Linked DNA regions of Schizosaccharomyces pombe. The gene in region 1 interacts genetically with each later gene. Each region holds a gene or a part of one and is shown on either strand. Other genes may lie near its edges. The genes, in order: mcs4, win1, wis1 and cdc25.

Region 1 (4,508 bases):
ATCAATGTTATTTGTTTTTAAATAGCCCAATTTTTTAAGTACAGCTACAACATCTCCTTCAATTGTTTTAAGGGGATTATTTATTTGAATCCCATGGTAACCATAACCAGAATATCCCAATAAAATGATGATACGAACTTTGTTAGATTCTTTTGTGCCCTCGATTTTTTCTCGCTTTGGTAATTTTGGTGTTTCTAGATCCTCTGCGGGTATATGCTCCTGTTGATTTTTTCTTTTCGAGATAGAAGTCATTTTTTATAAAACAAATCTTCTAAAAAAATTTAAAGAAAAAAAAAACACCACAGTTTACTATTAATTACAAAAACGTATTAAAACAAAAGACACAGAAAATATTGGTGTTTAAGTGTGGTATGGACGCAATCAAGAATGATGCACACGAGATTGAAATACGCTCATTTTTTAGCGACATATTAAAAGTCTTTACAACTAAAATATTAGATACGAAAATAAGATATCCTACTTTATTATCTTTGTAGATGAATAACGAAATTTTGGAGTTTTAATGTACAACATAATATTAGGTAAATCAGAAAGTGTTTAGTTATAAGGATAACACAATTAGCAATAAGTATCTATGACAAGCTGATCCATTAATAATTAAGGCAGGTAATTAGGTAAAGGAAAAGAGGAAATTATTTTGCTAGCAAACCATAGCGTCCGACAAATTGATAACCAAAAGATTAATTTTATACAATAAAAGATTACGGAAATAAAATGAGCGGAGCTCGACTTATTGTGGTGAACAGAACAAAACACAGTGATACAAAATTTGGTAAGGCTAATATCATCGACCGCGAAAACGGCACCAACCATTCCAATCAATAAGCGCTTGCATACAGCCCCACTCCGTAATTTTTTTCTCTAGCCAAACTAAAGAGACAGGCTTTGTAAGAAAATCATTGCAACCAGCAGCTAAAGCCTCGTTTCGATCAGCCATTAGGCTAGAAGCAGTAAGTGCCACTATAATCACAGGAGATTGAAATTTGTTTTCATTTAGCTGATCCTTTTCAGGTATCGGTTGTGTCAATTTTGGAGCACCAACTCCAATTGCGTTTAACCGCTCAAGTCTCCTAATTTCTTGGGTGACTTCAATACCGGACATCGTGGGAAGTTGGATGTCCATTAGAATCAAGTGAAAAGATTTCTTTTTCCACTTCTCGAGTGCTTCAAGCCCATCTTTAGCAACCTCCGAGGAAATATTGCGCTTCTTCATAAAAGTCTCTAGGATTTTTTGATTAATAATATTATCTTCAACAATCAAAACGTTAATTGGAGGAATCACTCCTTCAAGTAGACTAGCAAAAGGTGCTTTCGCACCTATGCCGGGACTTGTTAGAACATTGACTGGTGAAGTACCAACAATTCCATCTATTTGATTAGAAGGAAATCCTAAATGGGCTTGTGTATCAGCATTTAAGGGATCTTTGTTGTCTGCTATAGGAAATTGAGAACTGATATCAGGGTTCATCCTATTTGCTGCGTCAATATCAGCATTAACCGCGGGAAGGACTCCTGCGGTACCAGATTGTTTCGTATAAAGCGATGAATGACTAATACTTCTACTATTAGTGGGTGTCGCGACTTCGGCTTTCGCCAATTTTTCAGCTGTTGATTCATCAGACCGAGTCGACATTCCAATAGAATTTTTTCTAGTAATGGATTCGGCTTCGTCTGATGGTTGCGACTTGTCAGCTGAAGTTAGATCTGGTAAAGAGGGTCTTGAAGCCAATGTTTGCTGTCTAGAAGAACGAGGCAAAAGTAGTACGCCAGTTTTATTTACATTAGAGGAAGGAAGAGTTTGATGGGACCTAGTTCGGGATGCATTTCGTAAATTATAATTTAAAGGACCTCCTTTATAAGAATAAGTACTTTGATGTCGTGAAGGGGCAGAAACCGGGCTCTCAAGTGAATCAAGAGCAATGGATGGCTGTTTGATACGCGGGACTGTTTCGTTCGCTGGGGTAGGGATTATGTTAGGTGGGTATTCAGAAAAAACGGGAGGTGTTGATTCAAATGTAGAGGATGAGAGTTGAGAAGAGCGATATCTTAAGGCAACTGAGGTATCCGGCGACGCTACTAGAAGCGCGTCGTTAAAATCCTGACCATGAGGATAATAAGTTTCCATGACAAATAATATGCTTTCGTTGGGACTGAGTTCTCTAGATTGCAACTCCGATGATGCATTTGGTGGAGCTACTACACGAATCGAAAGCTCAGGTGCATCATAATACTGACTGATACGAATAGGGAATTTCCGAGCGATGGCATCTTTTAAATCGTCAACCAGATGATCTTCAGACAATATAACGGAGGAAGTAATCCCATCTGGAACTTTTTTAAACCAAATGCGCATCTTCTATATATCTTCTTTCTTTTGACTTAACCTCAACTTTCCTATATACAGTATGAACAACCAAAACAGCCGCCTGTTTTTACGTTTAACATTCGATAGCTTCTTGTATAATCCCCTTCTATTTTAAATTTAATAGAAATATACAAGTATAAAATCACTGTTCGTGATAAGGAATGAGTAAGGTATGGTTCACGATACAATACGGCAAGCCTACTTAAGGTGTTGAGTTTCGTTACCTAGTCGTGCAACAAGCGCTGGGGATTTAGTAGAGTACTTAGAGTAACACCTTCCATCTGAGGACAAAAATCGAATAAATTTTAACACGTGAAAATAATAGGCACAGCTAAAACTGCGATTGTAAATTATACATTCTACGATACGAGCAAATAAGTATTCGTTTAAAAGGGATACTGTTGTGTTATTGACTTACTATTAGAATTCGACATTACTAAAATTTAACTAATTGAGTAATTGTTTCTGAAATTTATTCCTTATTTTAGATTTTATTTAAAGTATGTAGTTTAAAAAAAAAAAAAATTAAACGTTATACCCATACTTAGTTGGCTACCATTAATGGTCCTATTACTACTTGTCAGGTTTGGATATTTAATGACTCAGATTAAATGATTTAATCAACACAAACCAATATTTTTGAAATTCAAAAATAATGAGGCTTCAATTTCTCAATGAGAAACCAAAAAAAATTATTTTAGATAGTAACCCATTTAGTCATAGAAAAAAAAACCGTGTTTGATTATATGTACAATTTATCAACTCATTTATTTTTATCAGGTTCTTAAATCATAATGATAAACCTAGGCGATTCTATTAGGAAGCAATATATTAAGGACTAATAAAATAAACAATAAATATTAATGATTAGGAAATCAAACGCACCAAGATAATCAAATTGATAAACAAACTATAGATAAATGACAGAAATATTGAATCAACAAAATTGCAACTCATTCAAAAAGTTATCAATTTACACTTAAAGAATTATTTACCACAAAACATACTGTAGCGTTAGCATTTGTTGCTCCTGTTAATAACGACTTCTGATCTCGATGAACTCAAAAAGTTCGAACCAACATAATATAGCGAGTGCTTTTGATCATTCAAGAATTAGAAATGAATGCTAACAATACTACATTACAATTACGAATTACTATATGTCACATGTTCTGATTACCTATCGTCTTACAAATGATAACAATACGATGTAGATCCACTAATAAATTTTTTAATTTATTAGCTAGAAATGATAGATGTAAAATCAAAGGAACAACGTTCTTTAGTTCAGCTGTGGTGGTTTGTTTAGAGATAAATTACATTACCGCCTTCATACAAGGATATCCGTAACCCCCGTTATCATACAACCATATGTACCGCTATGTAGTGCACATACGAAAATCAAGTAGTCTAACATATCATTAATGATAATTACGAACTGCATAGCTAAAAAAAATAAAACGCAATATCAAACTTAACGAAAATATTTTGTGTAAACGTTAATAAACTGTAATTATTTTAAGGAAAAGTGCTTATTCACGTTGTTAAAATAAAAAAGTACAACCTACAGATGCGTACACAGAAAGAAGTGAGTTTATTCGTTCCGCGAACTAGCTTGGCAGTAAATTTTGGGGAATTGACTTTTGTACATTATAGCATACCATTGTGGATCAATTTTATGTTCATTGCATTTTTTTAGTAATTATTACTTCTTAGAGTTCCTTTTTTTTTCAACAAAACCTTCGGATTTACGTCTGAGGTGATCGATCTTTTCATGCTATGTCTGCTCATGAGGTGTCCTCCACAAAAAACTCAGAAATTGAAAGAATTATTAAAGAGGCAGAAGATGCGGGTCCTGAAAATGCACTTACGTTAGATCTATCTCATCTAAACTTGCGGGAATTACCTTATGAACAATTGGAAAGAATCCAGGGTCGGATAGCGAGACTAGCGCTAGGCCATAACTTTATAAAGAGTATTGGTCCTGAAATCCTAAAGTTTACTCGTCTCCGGTACCTAAATATTAGATCGAATGTCCTTAGAGAGTTTCCCGAATCTTTGTGTCGACTTGAGTCACTTGAAATTTTAGACATTTCTCGCAATAAAATCAAGCAACTGCCAG
Region 2 (7,153 bases), on another chromosome or scaffold:
GGCATGAAAAGTTATGGTTCAGATATTACACCGAGGCGCCCTAAACAGCTTGGATTACCGAAAGAAGTTAACACCTCCGAATGCATAGATCAAGGCTCATGGAGGAAACCCTCAGCATTTGAAAGCTTAAGAAGTTACTCCCGAAAATTTTCTAAACGAATTTTTTCATTCATAGGAGTTGAGTCAAAAAGTACTGTACAACGCAACGCTTCAGGTGCAGACAGTACGTCGTTGTCTCACTTTACGGCGAATGAGATAAACAAAGGCAACTGTAAAAAAACTGCGTTAAGTAATGAATTTAATTCGGCCAATAAAGGGAGCAAGGCTAGTGGTGTAGGTGCTGAACTACCTTCAGTTAATGGATTTATTGAAGGTGAGCTTCATGATGATAATGAGACAGATTCCTTTCGGATAAATGAATTAGCTAAGCAAATCCAAGAAACTTCTTTGGGTGCGACTACGCAAGAAGATGAGAGTTCGGATGGTATTTGCTGGGACGAGTTATCGACTACTTCGCCAGAGTCGTCGAAAGTGTCGGAACCTATCATTCAAGACAATACGCAAACGACTCATATAAATAACGATTCATCGGATATTCGATTTTCATCTCGTTGCGATTTATTTGCGGACGATGCGGATTCAGATTGGGAGCAGGACTTTAATGTGAAATTCGATAGTCCATTGATAATTCCCGAAACGGTAAACAGTGCAGGACACACCGTTCGAGAACAGCTTTTTGAGGTGAAGGAATTTACGAGATCCATCAAAGGTAAGACATTCATGTGTTGTAATGCTTTAGTTTTAACCGCTGCTAACTAAAAACACAAATAGACTTAAAAGATCTTTACGAAAAGGCAAATTCCAAAGATATTTACGACAAGGACTCAGAGATTTTAGGAGAGGCTAAGGCTATTCTACGGTTAGCGGATCCTGCAAATTATTCTGATTTAAAGGATGAGGACGCGCAAAACATTTTATCAAAATATAAAGTTAAGTTGGAAGGGGATTCTTCATTAGATTTCGATGCGTCCATGCTACCAGGGCTAAACGATCATGTGCATTATTTAATGTCCCAACTCCAACTATTATTACACTGAGTTTCTCTTTTTGGCTATTTAATCCATTAATGGAATGGGAAGTATCTATTTTGTTATCCAAAGTGTCAAAATTTCGCTTAGGATAATTTCAATAATTGTGAGAACAGTTTCGCATTGGTGGATAGCAAGTAAAGGTGAAACTGGCCATTACAACCTTTTTATACTTCTGCATCTTAAGAAGCTTTTGGTTTTATTGTAAATTTCTTTCGTTTTCTCTTTTTAATAAATCTATTTTGCAATAATATTTCGGAAAAAGTACTAGACAGATGTTTTGTCTTTTGTGAATATTAGTCCAACCTTTATTCTGTGATAAAAAGATTTTATTAAATTAAAGTAAAAGAATGTAAATCAAAAATACCTGAAAACCCATATCTATGATTTTGCTATTTAGTGAGAAATTCCTCATTGCACTGAAAATCCTTAAAACTAGTACCCCACTTCATACTATACTACGGGGTTAGACCACAATTAGTTGTTTATCCTTTGCACACCGCAAACCTATAAATTTTCTTTTTGTCAATTCCACATATTCTACAAGGAGGATTGACTTTTTAGTTCACTGATTATTGCTCTTTCAACAATTTATACGCGGTAGTTTTACTGCTCTTCGGCTCGTATAATTTTTTTACACAACACTTTTATCGATTTTTTAAGCCGAATTTCTACATTTAATATTTTATCATTTTTTTCTGCTCATTAATATTTACCGTATCTTTTCGAAAACCCATTGCTTTGGATGTGTGTGTGTGTCTCTCTCTCTACGTTCCTCAATTTGACTGCATTACTTTAATATACTTACAACCTGAATTCTGTTCGGTTGGTAATTCCTGCAATCGTTATTTGTCTTTGTCAACTTCGGATTTTTTATTTTTACATATAACAGTAGTTGCATTGACTTCGCTGCACAATTCCTTACACTGAGTTGGCATTCCTTGCATCTGTAAACCACTTTTTCATTACCCACTCCCATTTTTGACTTCAGTAAACAATTATTCTACTACTACTTGCCACTATTCCAAACTTATCTGTTTCCCGTTTTGGGTTTAAATTTGGGTATAACGGTCTTTTTTATACATAACTTCTGAAGCAATTCGAAATTTGTTCCTCAACAAACATGGAAAATATTTTGGATCCTTCTGTGGTCAATTCACATATACTAGAAAATGGCTCAAGGCGATCTTCTATCAATCCAATTCTTGATAGTGAATTGCGTGATAAAACATTTGAAAAGGCTCATCGTCGCTCTTTGACTTTACTTTCAAGTTTTACCTCGTCTATGCTTGAACTTCCTAACAACGGAAAAGAAGAAAATCACAGAAGGCCATCTGTTGCGCGTAGCTCAAGTGATAGATCCAAGGCGAGCGCCAAAGAGGACTTATTTTCAGAAGCTTTCAGAATGGCTGAACAGCCTCCAGCCGAGGCCCTTACTATTTCTACCCCTGTTGACCCAATCAATATTGATGAATTAGATCGTGCTTATGCCGTAAGTCCAAGCGATACTAGTAATCTACTACATCCTCCTACTTCTTCCTCTTCCATTCCTATACCAATTAAGAATGCTGGTCATTCAAACCTCGATCATCCTATCCGACCTAGTCTGCAAAGTAGTATTAGCTCAAATAGGATAATAAAGTCTCCCGGTATTAAGGAAGACGATTATATGCACAGAGGACGTTCTATTTCGTCGCCAATGATTGATGTTGAACACATAAATTCAACAGCAGTTCCAAGCAAAACTAAAAATTTGCCAGAAAAGCCCAAGCGTTCTCACAAACTAAGAAATTCTATAACATTTGCTAAAATTGAAGATCATCCTGAGAGGAAATCTCAATTAAGACGACTGAGTAGTTCGTTAAAGTGTTTTGACCCAGAATATGATTATAACGATCCTTCTCTAAGCATTCGTCGTGATAGTTCAACTTATTACTTTTCTAATGTTAATGAAACTTATGATGAGGAGGACTCGGATTTAGATTCTGAGACTTCAACTGTAAATTGGGTACAATCTGTTCTGAATCTCCCATCCTTACTTTCTGATGATTTAATGGCTAACCCAAAAAACAAAGAACGTTTTGAATGGCAATATATGTTGACTTCAGTTCTGACTGGTGATATAGTCCGATCTGAAAAATTACGGCTAAGAAAGATTGCTTCTTCTCGAGAAGGGCGAAATAGTGATTATTCTGATAATTTGTGGATGGAAATATGGTGTTGGCTTACTCATCGTTCCGTTGATTCTTATAGAGAAAATTTAAAACATCTTCGTACGGGTATGGTTGATGTGCTACTGGCCATTATGAATTTTCATTGGGATGAGAGCAACGAATTAACCCCTATTGTTGCTGTCGATAACATGCTGCAAAAACTTGATAAATATGAACGTTTATATCCTTCACGTCGTTCTATCCTTCAGGAACATTCATTATATGCTTCAGAATCTTTTCAGCACAAGTTGGATGTCTTGACGGCTTATTCTAATGTCACTCATGCGCTAGAAATTCAAGTTAACATTATTCGCTCGTGGGTTGGTAATGAGGAAATGGACATTACCAAAAATACTACAAATTCTATTAATAACGTTTCTCAAATTTCAAACGGACCATTTGTGGAGCGCTTTTATAGAGAAACCGGTTTGATTCGAGCTTTTGAGCAAAGAATCATGACTAATATGAATAGCGTATTAAGCAAAGTTTGTAATACGATTGTTACATATGCGGATGATTTAAAAAGTTATGGCTTGCCGCTTATTGCTGATGATTACATGCGTCTTCTTTCTTTTCCGTTTAGGTTAATCAAAGAGTTCCTAAATCTTCGCTTATCATGTGCAGAAAATATTACCTCAATTTCTTTATTTACGATTGACTCTTTACTAGATGACCTTCGGAACACTATGAAAGTTGCCGTCCATATCATTCAACAACACACTGTTCTAATCAAACCTTTTCGTGATGATAGCAAATTTGTTGATGAAAACCAGTCCTTAAACAATATTTTAGTTGCCTCATTGAAATTTTACTTCAATTTATTACATCGTAAGGTTCGCAATGGCTGTGCCTTGCTGCATTTCAAAGAAACCGAAATTTTAGAAGGAGAATGGGATTTTCTGCTCGCTGTTTGTCCCCACATCGAACACGGATTCCAAATTATGTCTAAAAGTCTTTCTTCGCTGGTTGGTGAAATATTGACCAATATCAATAGGTATCTAAAAGATCAGCTGCAGGGGCCCGATACCGATGACTCTGCATTGATCACCTCATTTTATATCAAGGTGCTTGACTGTGTTAGAATTCGCTTCCGAAAATTGATGAGTTTTACTCGTATACTAAAAGCGCATTTGGAAAATTCTTGCGAGTACGTTATTAAAGAGAATTCATTATCCCTTTTAATACAACGCCTTGAAGAATCAAATCACGTTTTGACATATACGGCGAGTATCGAACATGAAGGAGCATACGTAATTGTTCCAGGACACCTAGTTGATTCCCCTAATATACTTCGTGAGGTACTTTCAATGACTTTTAATAAAGGAGATAATAATTTTGAAAGTGTACCTCCATATGCGGTTGTATTGGCTCCAGACAGCTCAATATGTTGGAACGGCCATGTTACAGATCTTGATATTCCGGAAGTGTCAATTTCCATTGCTCCTAACTGTGTCCGTTTAGTAACGTTAGCGACAGCTAATCAACTCTCTGTTATCGAAGATTATTTTATTAGTATAGTTGGTGACACAGTCTCACTTGTTGATTCTGCGAAAGCAAATTCATCCAAAATCAACAAACAAATGACCAAAATTAAACGAAATTCTTTGAAGTTGGCTTTGTCATTGCTTGATGTGATACAAACAATTCGTACAAGGTACCATGGCATGAATTGCCAAAATCTAATTCATTATTCTTTTTCTTACGCCATTGAATTTGCACAACGATTAATGAGGCTTTCGATCCTAGACGCATCTAGCATTGGGCTGATTCGTCGCAAAATGATACAGCTGGCGATCAGTTGGGTTGGATTCATCTATGAGGATTGTTCTCCTACCGATAGAAATACGTTTCGTTGGACTGTTACGGCTTTAGAATTCGCAATGATTATGACATACGGTTCGAACATTTTAATGATTGATAAAAAATCATTTGAAGAACTCAAAGAAAAGGTTGGAAAATGTGTGGCATTATTACTTTTGCACTTTGATGTTATGGGTACTAAACATGCTGGTCGTAGTATGGACCAACAAGCTGGAGATATACCAGCTCGCCTTGTTCGAAATAATTCCGACCGAAGTCGTTTATCGGATAATGAGTTGGCTTCCTTTGTCAAGGAGGAGGTTATGCATCGGATAATTGAACTAGAAAGTAATAGAAGGGACCGACTTTATAAGTCCCAGCTCATTGGACGTGTTTTGGATGATACGACAAAGGAGAACAGGCTATTGAAAGAGCTAGCCTCTTCGAAATCTAATATCACGATTCGATGGCAACAGGGTGGACTTATAGGTAGCGGTTCTTTCGGTACGGTTTATCGTGCTGTTAACTTGGATACAGGAGATTTAATGGCTGTTAAAGAAGTGGCATTGCATAAACCTCGTATATCTAGACCGATGATCAAGAGGATTAAAGGTGAAATGTTAGTACTTGAACTCTTTGATCATCCTAATGTCGTATCGTATTATGGTATCGAAGTGCATCGTGAAAAAGTTAATATATTTATGGAACTTTGTCAAGGCTCTTCGCTTTTCGAATTTCTACGTTACGGTAGAATTGAGGACGAATTGGTAATTCAAGTTTATGTCCTACAATTATTAGAAGGATTGGCTTACATACACTCCTGTGGTGTTTCACATCAAGATGTAAAGCCTGAGAATATCCTTTTTGATCACAACGGGATCATGAAATTTACAGATTTTGGTTCTGCCAAGATGTCGGGTTCTGCTTCAACTAAAATTTTTGAACAGTTAACACAACAAGAAGAGGAAGAGTTTGAAAAAGACTCGGAATTTTTGCAGCATCTAGACCAAAATCGCGGTTACTCCTTGACAGGAACACCTACGTATATGGCGCCAGAATTAATTCTTGGTAATCCGTCCGAAAGGGTTGGTGCTATGGATATTTGGTCACTTGGATGTGTTATTGTTGAAATGGCTACGGGTTCCCCACCTTGGCCTAGATTAGATAATCATTTTTCTTTGATGTATCACATTGCTGCACATAATCCTCCTATTATTCCTGCAGATGATCAGCTTTCGCCTTTGGGTCAAAATTTCCTCAAACGTTGTTTTGTTTCTGATCCCAATCAGCGCGCTACAGCTGCCGAATTATTAATGGATCCATGGGTGTATCCCTTACGGGCTGGTACGGAATTCGATCTTATGAACTCATCCGTAGTCGAATCAGCGCCTTCTACCAATGGTGCTCCGTTGGAACTTTAGATGTTTGCTATGTTTTACACCTTATGACTATTTTTTGGATACGGTTTTAATTTAATACTTAATTAATAGAGACGAGAAATATTATAAAGTCCTAAACACTTTGTAAGTTTTGTATTCGTAGCAATCTATGCGGTATTCATTAAATGAATCGTTATTGAATTAGTTGAGTGTAAAAGTGACTTTATCATAGAATCATTTTTACTACGGCGCTAGGAAGAGACGTTAATTAAATTACCTTGCTACAACAATCAAACGTAAATACAATGCATATATTGATGAGTTTCATTGTTACGCTAATATACAAGATAGATCAGCCTAATGCTGAATTTTTTACATTTGTTTAGATATGTCAAGCTAAAGAGTTCCTGGATTCTACCAGAAACTTGGAAATCCAATAAAAATAATCCGATTTATTTTATCTGCCATAACATTGATTTTAAAAATTTTAATAAGTTTTACCTAAGCAGCAAGAATGTCGGAATCGCCAGCATCAATAACTGCTAATACACCGACGCGAAATAATTTACCACATGCAGTTCCTAAATCAATACTTGAAAACAGTTAGTAAAACAAAATTCGACTCCCAATTAAGATCTCTGTCGAAATCAAAAAGGCTTCAAAAAGCTAGCCA
Region 3 (5,226 bases), 2.4 Mb from region 1:
TCAGTCATCTTTTCACGCTTTTCTTTCTCTACTCAGTGTATTATAAGCGCTACCCTTTTATTCATTCTAACTATCAAAGAATTCCTTTTTCCTTTCCCCAAAAAACAACTACCATTCGTATGTACAGTCGTCTTAGTCTACTATTGTATGGTATGTGGCATACGCAGCCGTGGGTGCCAGCCAGCAACCATACCAAGTCAAAAATTTCTCTTATAGCAAATCAATTCTTCATTCAATTCAAATAATGTAAAAAAAAACGCATCTATAGAAACATACGATGAAACTTTTTAAATACAAACTAATAATGAAAATACTCGCAGACTAACAATGAAAATACTCCAAAATCTAATAAAGAATTAGCAATTTGGCATTTCATGAAACCGTAAAGCGTCAAACGAAATGAAATCTAATAAAATTAATAAAATTAAAATAAAATGCCTTCTTCTTCTTCTCAGTTTCATCGTATGATTTTCTCTTTTAATTTCTTCATTTTATTCCACTTTCCTTCTCTTCTTTAGTTTTTCCTCATTTTTGGATGTTGGGAATACAGCCTCTTTCTATCTAGTTTCATCTTCAGCCTTTTTCACCACATGTTCAATCATTCGACTCTTTCTGTATTCTTCTATCTCAATTGAACATTATTGAGTCTGTTTTAATGAAAATTTTTTTTGTCTTCCCTTGATGTTGGCGCAAAACTAGACGTTCCAAATTTTTTCTCATTAATAAAGGATTATCCTCAAATCGTTTTTATAGCCCCCTTTCTACTTTGTTCGAGCATACACCGTACATTATGCATTTGCATATAGATGGAGTGATCTAGGAACTTTTGTAAATTTTTTTCTCTTTGCTTGTTTTTCCTTCCTACGAAAGTTCTACCCCTTCGTTGCACTTTTCACTTCAGTGTCTTTTTCCATAGAACAAAATGTTCCTAGCAGTTTTGCTGCTACTCTTACATTATTTTTGTGTGTTTCCTTAAACAAAAGAAATTTAAAAAAATTAGAAAAAAAAAAAAAATTTAAAAATAAATAAATTTTTTTTTACGCTGCTTCTAGAGCACAAATAACACACTCTCTTCATTCCACTTGCTGAACCTTTTAACGATTATTAAAAAATGTTTTATTATACATTACTACACCTTTTCGAAACACTTGTGCGTTAACTCGCTTTTTTTTATCGCTCTCAAGGACGGAAGCTACTAGGTTAGTTATATTTCTCTTATTTATTTGGTTATACATTTTACCTTGGATCATGATTTTTCTTAGTATACATTGACATTCGAATACCAGCTTTGAAACTTAAAGCCCTATGCACCTAATCATTAATTATTTTTGTTTTTATTTATTTATTCTTTATTCTTTTCTAATCAAACACTACCATATCTATCGGACAATTCAATTCCTTCTGTCAAGACCGATAAATCGTTGTGTTTATCTTCCATTAAAATATTTTTCGGCCCTTTTTTTTTCTGTTTTTCTTTACTTCTATGTATTATTCTCTATACGTTGAGCATTTTACCCAATCATCCTGTGCTTTCCCATTAATCCATCGAGGTATTTCTTACCAGCTATTTCTGCCGTACATTCTTTCCATTTGCATATAAATCTCAGGATACCTTGTTAGAAATCTTGTCGAATGATTCATACAGGTCGTTACGCTTATACGGAGATCTGCAGCATATTATTTGGCTTCACGTTATTTTGATTTTACAAATTTGATTGTATCCCTTAACCATCCCTTGTTTTGATGAAACATTTTTTTATCCACGTTATCCTTATATACTGATACGTAAGCTAACGTGCAAAAGTTTCTCCTTAAGATTAAGCAACGTGTTGTCTGACTTTCGTTATCCTTTTATCCTTCACCAACTCCATCCCATTCCACCTTCTTGTATACCCAAACATACCCCAGCCGGCTGGCGATAGCTGGGATTCCTAATCTCTCAAGCATTCCCTTTCGACGTGTATATCTTATTTACATCGTACCGACTACACTTCCTATTTTATCACCCTCCCTAAATTTTCCCATTTCCTTTAAAGAGCAGAATTTTTTTTGCTCTTTACTGTAAGAGAAAAGCGTTTCTGAATTTTTTCTCTTCCTTCCACACCCTTACGTGTTATCTTTTAGAAAGATAATTTCAAATTTCTTTCCTTTTTATTTCGTGTTTGTGAATTATTACTTTTTCTCCTTACCTTTGCCTCCTTACTCGTCGGTCATAACTCGGTTTTAAAGTATTGACTTCTCGGACTAAGATTAACCCACACCTTTTTACTTTTTTTTCTTTAGTTCTCCTTGGGAAATTTATTATCTAAGCCCCTGTTTCTTCCAGTTTCTGGCTTTTGCTGTTAAATTTAAACCCTTCCAAACCTCCTTTTTTTCCGTGGCATTTACCTACACAAAGCTACTCGTAGGTGATTGCCTTTAAACTTCCTTTTTTTTTCTTGGAATATCCTTCCTGCGGACTTTTTAGACCACCGCTTTTTTTTTCCTTCTTCGTCGGAGACGACTCGTAATTGATTGTCTAATTTTAATTGTTCTTTTCACCCAAGATACCTTTTTTGTATTGCCATCTCACTTTCGTTCATCTTCACTTTTGCTTCATTTATATTACCGGAATTTAGTTTACCTAATTTTTTTTTCTTTTTTTTTAAGTTTGTGAAGCACATTTATTTTATATGTCTTCTCCAAATAATCAACCCTTGTCTTGCTCATTGAGACAGCTGTCTATTTCTCCTACCGCACCTCCCGGTGATGTTGGTACTCCCGGCTCGCTCCTTTCTCTTTCGTCTTCAAGTTCTTCAAACACCGATTCTTCTGGTTCTTCCTTGGGTTCCTTGTCTTTAAATTCTAACAGTAGTGGCAGTGACAATGACTCAAAGGTTTCTTCTCCTAGTCGTGAAATACCTTCCGATCCCCCTCTTCCCCGTGCCGTGCCTACGGTCAGACTTGGCAGATCTACGTCCAGTCGGAGTCGTAACTCTCTTAACCTTGACATGAAGGATCCTTCGGAAAAACCTAGACGTTCACTTCCTACAGCAGCTGGTCAGAACAATATTGGATCTCCTCCTACTCCACCGGGCCCATTTCCTGGAGGACTTTCAACTGATATACAGGAGAAATTGAAGGCCTTCCATGCATCTAGATCAAAATCAATGCCGGAAGTAGTCAACAAGATCAGTAGTCCAACTACCCCTATTGTCGGTATGGGTCAACGAGGAAGTTATCCTTTGCCTAACTCTCAACTTGCTGGTCGATTAAGTAATTCGCCCGTAAAGTCTCCGAATATGCCAGAGTCCGGGCTTGCAAAATCACTTGCTGCTGCTAGGAATCCTTTACTCAACCGTCCAACGTCCTTCAATCGACAAACGAGAATCCGTCGTGCACCACCTGGAAAACTCGATTTATCCAATTCCAATCCCACCAGCCCTGTCAGTCCGTCTAGCATGGCTTCTCGCCGTGGCCTAAACATTCCTCCCACCCTTAAACAGGCTGTTTCGGAAACCCCTTTTTCCACATTTTCGGATATTTTGGATGCAAAATCAGGCACCTTAAATTTTAAAAACAAAGCCGTGTTAAATTCAGAAGGTGTTAACTTTTCATCTGGCTCTTCGTTTCGTATTAATATGTCAGAGATTATTAAGCTTGAAGAACTTGGAAAAGGTAACTATGGTGTTGTGTATAAAGCATTGCATCAACCGACTGGTGTCACTATGGCCTTGAAGGAAATTAGGTTGTCCTTAGAAGAAGCAACATTTAATCAAATTATAATGGAATTGGATATTTTACATAAAGCAGTTAGTCCTTATATCGTTGACTTTTATGGTGCCTTTTTTGTGGAAGGTTCTGTTTTTATTTGTATGGAATATATGGATGCTGGTAGCATGGACAAACTGTATGCTGGTGGTATCAAAGACGAAGGAGTTTTAGCTAGAACTGCTTATGCTGTAGTGCAAGGCCTCAAAACTTTGAAAGAGGAGCATAATATCATTCATCGTGACGTTAAACCTACTAATGTTTTGGTAAATTCTAATGGCCAGGTTAAGTTATGTGACTTTGGCGTGAGTGGGAATCTTGTGGCTTCTATATCCAAAACGAACATTGGATGTCAATCTTACATGGCTCCTGAAAGAATTCGTGTTGGTGGACCTACCAATGGCGTCTTGACTTACACCGTACAGGCTGATGTGTGGTCTCTAGGCCTTACCATTTTAGAAATGGCTTTAGGAGCTTATCCGTATCCACCTGAATCATATACTTCAATATTTGCACAACTATCGGCGATTTGCGATGGCGATCCACCTTCTCTCCCCGATTCATTTTCTCCCGAAGCTCGTGATTTTGTAAACAAGTGTTTGAATAAAAACCCGTCTTTGCGTCCCGATTATCATGAGTTGGCTAACCATCCATGGTTGTTAAAATATCAAAATGCAGATGTGGACATGGCTTCATGGGCAAAAGGCGCTCTTAAAGAGAAAGGTGAAAAAAGAAGCTAAAGGTTCGCCTGCTTTCTAATTGCCTGCTCTGTTTTAAAGTACCCATGCGCATTGGTGTTTGTCTTTAATTTCGAATGCATGACTATTACGTGATCCATAATTATGTTTCAGCAGAACCGACGCTATTTTGCATTTGTGCTTTTTCATAAATTTAATAATTTGGGTATGATTCCGTATAACGGTAGTTGATGTTTGCATTTTTGCTTTAAATTAAAACGGGTATTTAATGTGTTATTACATTTGTTTAAGGCATTTACGTCCACCATAAAAAACTTTTTTTTTATTTAACTAAGGGGCTTTAGAAGTGCAAACGAAAGTTTGCAATTGTAAAAGTTACTTGTACTGTATTAATTTATTTCTTTTAAAACTTCGTTGACTGGCTCCGTCGTTTTAGCTACTATGATCTCCTGTTTCCTACAATGGTGATTACTTAGAGAGATTGAATCCATCGTAAATGCAAGTGTTAATAGATATTATATCGACCTAATAATAATTACTTAAACTATTAATATATTACTCAAAGAGATTTGAGGTATTCATTTATTTAAAAAGTACGAGACTTTTATATATCAAAGAAACAAATTCTCCCAACATAAGTCCAACAAGGTAATCTAGAGTCATAACAGATTTTTATCCTGGAAATGAAAATTCCTTCATAGTGGAATATTTTTTGAGAAAGAACGCCGTAATATATTACGGTCGCTTTTGAGATGCGTATTTCGCTTTTGCAGTTTCA
Region 4 (5,285 bases), on another chromosome or scaffold:
TCTTGACCTTTATGAACAGGGAGCTCTCTTTAACGGTCAGGACGTTACCAAGATTCGTGACCCCTTGGCCATGGATACCTCTGTGCTCAGCGCTATTGAAGTTGACCCCTTTGAGAACCTTGATGAAACTCAAACCCTATTTGAGGAAACCTATGGTCTCAAGACCACCGAAGAAGAGCGTCAATTCATTCGTCGTGCATGCGAATTGATTGGAACTCGTTCTGCCCGTCTTTCTGCGTGTGGTGTATGCGCCCTTGTTCGTAAAATGAATAAGCCATCTATGATTGTAGGTACTGATGGTAGTGTCTACAACTTATACCCTCGTTTTAAGGATCGTCTTGCTCAAGCATTTAAGGATATCCTTGGTGAGGAAATTGGCAGCAAAGTTGTTACCATCCCCGCCGAAGACGGTAGTGGCGTAGGTGCTGCATTGGTCAGTGCTCTTGAAGCCAAAGGCAAGGCCCTCACTTCTGATATTCTTGCCGAGCATCTTAAGAATTAAGTCCACTCATTGTTTTTAGGTTTTACGGATACTCATTTGATTTTGTGTCACTGAACTCCACGAAGTGTTCGACAAACTGTTTTATACTGCACTTTTTATTTGTTTCATACTCCATCTTTTTGCGTACAATTTGTTCCAGCAATTTTTATGGTTACACTTTTCTTTGTCTACTAATCACGTATCAGGGCGTTTTTACAAAAAGGTGCTCCACCTGATAAAATATTTTCTTTTTTGCTCTAGTGTTTCTGTGGATACGATATCTGCCTCTGATTGCTAGAATACTTTAAATAAAGGTTAGAGTTTTGTTATATTTTGTATGTTGAAGTGTAATAATAGCGGTATCTTTGTTGAAGATATCCGAGTTTAACAAGACAACTGGCTATACTATCTTGCGAAATATGCCTACTACGACAATAATGGTATCAACCCATAGCTACATAACATCGGGAGACTTTCAATGAGTTACACCCTCGTTTTCCAATTCGGAATGACAGTCCGAGTCCCGAAGTAGAGAGATTCATCGTGTTACGATTATTCGCTAACACCTGATAACATATTTTATCTCGCTGCTCGTGTTACATATCAGGAGTGCGGGTATGAGATTATGGGGATTTAATGGCTGTCAAGCAGGTTACCTGACGTTTGTTCTTATGTATTTGTTTACACATACACAACATTTGGCGTTGCTAGGGCAACAAATCAGACAAACTGCGGTGGATCGAATAGCTGAGATGTATGGACATGTAAACAAACATACAAGATGCAAAAATTTATGTGTTTTCATCTAGTTCAATGTTGTTAATGAAATGATTATTTGCTTTTATATAATTAATAGATTAAGAGGTGACATATTGTAGCTTGAAACGGCATTATCTACGCAACTAAACTATACAACAATAGTTGTCATGGCTGAGGTGTTGGCTAAGTATTACAGCTTACAGTTTAACTTTGCTTTAATCATGTATTTGTTTTTATTATTGTTTTCTGTTACTCGAATTTGTTGGTTGGTGTTTTATTGTTGTTGTTACCTTTGCTTTTTTTTCCTCTCGGAGGCAGAGCTGAGATTTCTCTCTACCCTCAACTATCTACAGCGCTTCAAGCTCTTCTCCTTTAGATCAAGTGTATTACATTGAAAATATTATTCTTAAGAATACCAAAGTTGTAAGTTTAAAAAGAACTTGATGCCTGTTAGTTTCGGGCATCCTTCTCTCCTCAAGTTGGATTCCTGTTGATGCTTCTCAAGTACTAACTGCTGGTTCAGTGATTTTTTGAAACGTCTATAATACAATTGCTTACGCTTTTTAAGGCAATTAATAGGATTCTTGAAGTTATTTGTTCAAGAAGCCTTTATATGGTAAAGTGGGGGGTTTATTACTTGTAACGAACTTTGAGTCTGAACTTTTGGGTATTCTGTTGTTTTCATATTAATCAACTGCTTTCTTTTAACTTTCTTTTTTCTTTCATTTTTTCTTTCAACGACAGTATCTTTTATATTCTATATTATAGTCGTGACCGTTGGTGCTCATCTATTTTTGTCTCATTAATCTCTTTTTTTTTATATACTTTTATTCGGTCTTCCCGTCGTGTGGAGTCTAAACTTACTTAAACTTCTTTCCGGTTTCTTTTGTAAAGGTTGGTTTTGTTTAATATTTGGCTATATTGCTTTCATCCTGTCTTTCTTTTAGTTTTCTTTTTGTCTCACTTTGGCATTAATATCTTAAACCGGTCTTTTGACTCTTCCCTAGGATTTTCCTTTATAATTTATCTTACTTGCTCTATTGATTTCTCATTCTGAAACTCAATCTTTTGCAGTCGTGTCGTCCCATTAGTTCTTTTTGCAGTGTACTTGGTTTAAATTAAATTTACCATTTTGTCTGCTTTTAATAATAGTTAAACCTCAACTAAAATGGATTCTCCGCTTTCTTCACTTTCCTTTACCAACACTCTATCTGGCAAACGGAATGTATTGCGTCCTGCTGCCCGTGAATTAAAGTTGATGTCGGATCGCAATGCAAATCAAGAGCTGGATTTTTTCTTCCCGAAATCCAAACACATTGCCTCAACATTAGTGGATCCTTTTGGAAAAACTTGTTCGACAGCTTCACCTGCATCTTCCTTAGCTGCTGATATGTCAATGAACATGCATATCGATGAAAGCCCTGCCTTACCGACTCCTCGTCGTACGCTCTTTCGATCTCTTTCTTGTACTGTAGAAACCCCTCTCGCTAACAAGACTATTGTTTCACCTCTCCCGGAGTCACCCTCGAATGACGCTTTAACCGAGTCCTACTTCTTCCGGCAACCTGCATCGAAGTATTCCATTACCCAAGATTCCCCACGTGTTTCCAGCACTATTGCTTACAGCTTTAAGCCTAAAGCATCAATCGCATTAAACACCACCAAAAGCGAAGCTACTCGTTCGTCATTATCGAGTTCTTCTTTTGATTCCTACCTTCGTCCTAACGTCTCACGTTCTCGATCATCAGGCAACGCACCCCCATTTTTGCGATCCAGATCGAGTTCCTCATATTCCATTAACAAAAAGAAGGGAACTTCTGGTGGACAAGCTACCCGCCATTTGACTTATGCCTTATCCCGTACCTGTAGTCAGTCGAGCAACACGACCAGCTTACTTGAAAGTTGTCTTACTGATGATACGGATGATTTCGAATTAATGTCTGATCATGAGGATACATTTACGATGGGCAAGGTTGCTGATTTACCAGAAAGCTCTGTTGAACTTGTTGAAGACGCTGCCTCTATTCAACGTCCCAACAGTGATTTTGGTGCTTGCAATGATAATTCTTTAGATGATCTTTTTCAAGCTTCACCCATTAAACCTATTGATATGTTACCCAAGATAAATAAAGATATTGCCTTTCCTAGCTTGAAAGTTAGGTCCCCTTCTCCGATGGCATTCGCTATGCAAGAAGATGCGGAATATGATGAGCAAGATACACCAGTGCTTCGTCGTACCCAAAGCATGTTTCTCAATTCCACAAGACTAGGGCTTTTCAAAAGCCAAGATCTTGTGTGCGTTACGCCAAAACAATCGACCAAAGAAAGTGAGCGCTTCATCTCTTCTCATGTCGAGGATTTATCTCTTCCTTGCTTCGCCGTGAAGGAGGACTCATTGAAACGAATTACCCAAGAAACATTGCTCGGTCTATTAGATGGTAAATTTAAGGATATTTTTGACAAATGCATCATTATTGATTGCCGTTTTGAATATGAATACCTTGGGGGCCATATTAGCACTGCTGTGAATTTAAATACGAAACAAGCTATTGTGGATGCCTTTTTAAGTAAACCTCTTACTCATCGGGTTGCACTTGTTTTTCATTGTGAACATAGTGCGCACAGAGCACCTCATTTGGCATTGCACTTTCGAAATACCGACAGACGAATGAATAGTCATCGTTATCCTTTCCTTTACTATCCCGAGGTTTATATACTTCATGGTGGTTACAAGTCGTTTTACGAAAACCACAAAAACCGTTGTGACCCAATTAACTACGTTCCGATGAACGATGCTTCGCATGTTATGACCTGCACCAAGGCTATGAATAATTTCAAACGAAACGCTACTTTTATGCGTACTAAAAGTTATACTTTTGGCCAAAGTGTGTTAGCTTCCCCAGACGTTAATGATTCTCCTACTGCCATGCATTCCCTCTCTACACTTAGAAGATTTTAATGATTTTAGGCTGACTCAATACTTTACCTAGCCTGAAGTATACTCTTATATATTCAACTTTCTAAACCTAAGTTTTTTCTATAAACTTTGAATCATGAAACCTTTTATTTCTATTTTTTATTATTATTATTGAAAGAAAGCAATATACCTTTTAAAAGGTCTCGACAACAAAAAATTTAAACTGGCTAAACTTTTCGAAGTACATCACTTTTACGACTAAATATCTAGAACGACTAGTTTGGTTATTATTATTACGCATGGATTTTGGTTTAATAATTGATTATTTTATAATCAATTGAGCTTAATAATTTCTAAGCAATCACGGGTAAACATACGTACCGAAGTCCATTCTAATTGCTCTTCTCGCAATTGCTGTTGATAGGAATGCTAAGAATTTAGCATTCTTTGATTGAAGCAGTAATGCGATAGGAACTGAGTTGCTTACGTTTTTGTAACTCTACCTAACCATCTCTGATGGAAATATTTAAGTAGAAAACGAATAAAACTTTTATTTTTAAATCACTTCCTTTTATGCATGTTCTGTAAGCGGTAGTATTGTAGCTTACCCTTTCCAATGGAAGGTTAAGTTCACCAGAGAGTTACGAAGTTTTATGTGATATAAAATAGTTACAATGCGGAAGTTGGACATTCACACTTAAGTACCTTCCCAAAAAAAAAATTACGAAAATTTTTAATCAATACTACTTTTTTGGTAAAAATTTAAACATGTTCCGTTGAGAAAGTGAATCATATGTGTGCTTTTTTAAAATTTGAAGATATTTGTAGATTTTGTTTTGTTTACTTTTTATTTGCAACAATCAGAATGTCGTCATCTAAGTCAACCTTAAATTCGCTTATATGAATTTTATTGATTATGACATCAACGCCCTATGAAGTGCAGCTTTGAACGCCAACGATTGTATTTAATACATTGTAGGATAAACCTCGTAATCATAAATAACGAATTGTTTAAGTATGAAAGTTTGCAGAGCACTTAATGTTCAAACAAACAAATCTTTTTAGGTACACTAATTTAAAGATTTTGGTATCTTTATGAATAACGACCATGCTTCCAAGAAATCATTT

The links.
Region 2: of mcs4 (region 1) and win1, changing one enhances a phenotype caused by changing the other (phenotypic enhancement), as found in Schizosaccharomyces pombe (one study listed by BioGRID).
Region 3: of mcs4 (region 1) and wis1, a mutation in one rescues a mutant of the other (synthetic rescue), as found in Schizosaccharomyces pombe (one study listed by BioGRID).
Region 4: mutations in mcs4 (region 1) and cdc25 are lethal when combined (synthetic lethality), as found in Schizosaccharomyces pombe (3 studies listed by BioGRID, with this or other methods).

The regions. Positions count from the first base shown.
Region 1 is NC_003423.3:3,555,140-3,559,647, reverse strand, and holds mcs4 (response regulator Mcs4), read right to left. Parts: upstream 2,561-4,508; 5' UTR 2,375-2,560; coding exon 806-2,374; 3' UTR 511-805; downstream 1-510. Other genes in the region: tRNA pseudouridine synthase Pus2, read right to left, coding at 1-252; leucine-rich repeat protein Sog2, read left to right, coding at 4,166-4,508. UniProt on the Schizosaccharomyces pombe protein: Response regulator that coordinately controls the stress activated wak1-wis1-sty1 MAP kinase pathway and fission yeast cell cycle.
Region 2 is NC_003424.3:5,088,230-5,095,382, forward strand, and holds win1 (MAP kinase kinase kinase Win1), read left to right. Parts: upstream 1-1,586; 5' UTR 1,587-2,211; coding exon 2,212-6,522; 3' UTR 6,523-6,619; downstream 6,620-7,153. Other genes in the region: Spg1-binding protein Etd1, read left to right, coding at 1-769, 832-1,097; rpl3002 (60S ribosomal protein eL30), read right to left, coding at 6,982-7,072. UniProt on the Schizosaccharomyces pombe protein: Involved in a signal transduction pathway that is activated by changes in the osmolarity of the extracellular environment. Activates the wis1 MAP kinase kinase by phosphorylation.
Region 3 is NC_003423.3:1,143,231-1,148,456, reverse strand, and holds wis1 (MAP kinase kinase Wis1), read left to right. Parts: upstream 1-1,853; 5' UTR 1,854-2,672; coding exon 2,673-4,490; 3' UTR 4,491-4,726; downstream 4,727-5,226. Other genes in the region: ubiquitin hydrolase Uch2, read right to left, coding at 5,184-5,226. UniProt on the Schizosaccharomyces pombe protein: Dosage-dependent regulator of mitosis with serine/ threonine protein kinase activity. May play a role in the integration of nutritional sensing with the control over entry into mitosis. It may interact with cdc25, wee1 and win1. May activate sty1.
Region 4 is NC_003424.3:478,664-483,948, reverse strand, and holds cdc25 (protein tyrosine phosphatase (M phase inducer) Cdc25), read left to right. Parts: upstream 1-1,575; 5' UTR 1,576-1,663; exon of another isoform or gene 1,664-1,763; 5' UTR 1,764-2,408; coding exon 2,409-4,199; 3' UTR 4,200-4,721; downstream 4,722-5,285. Other genes in the region: hxk1 (hexokinase 1), read left to right, coding at 1-502; DNA replication pre-initiation complex subunit Sld3, read left to right, coding at 5,253-5,285.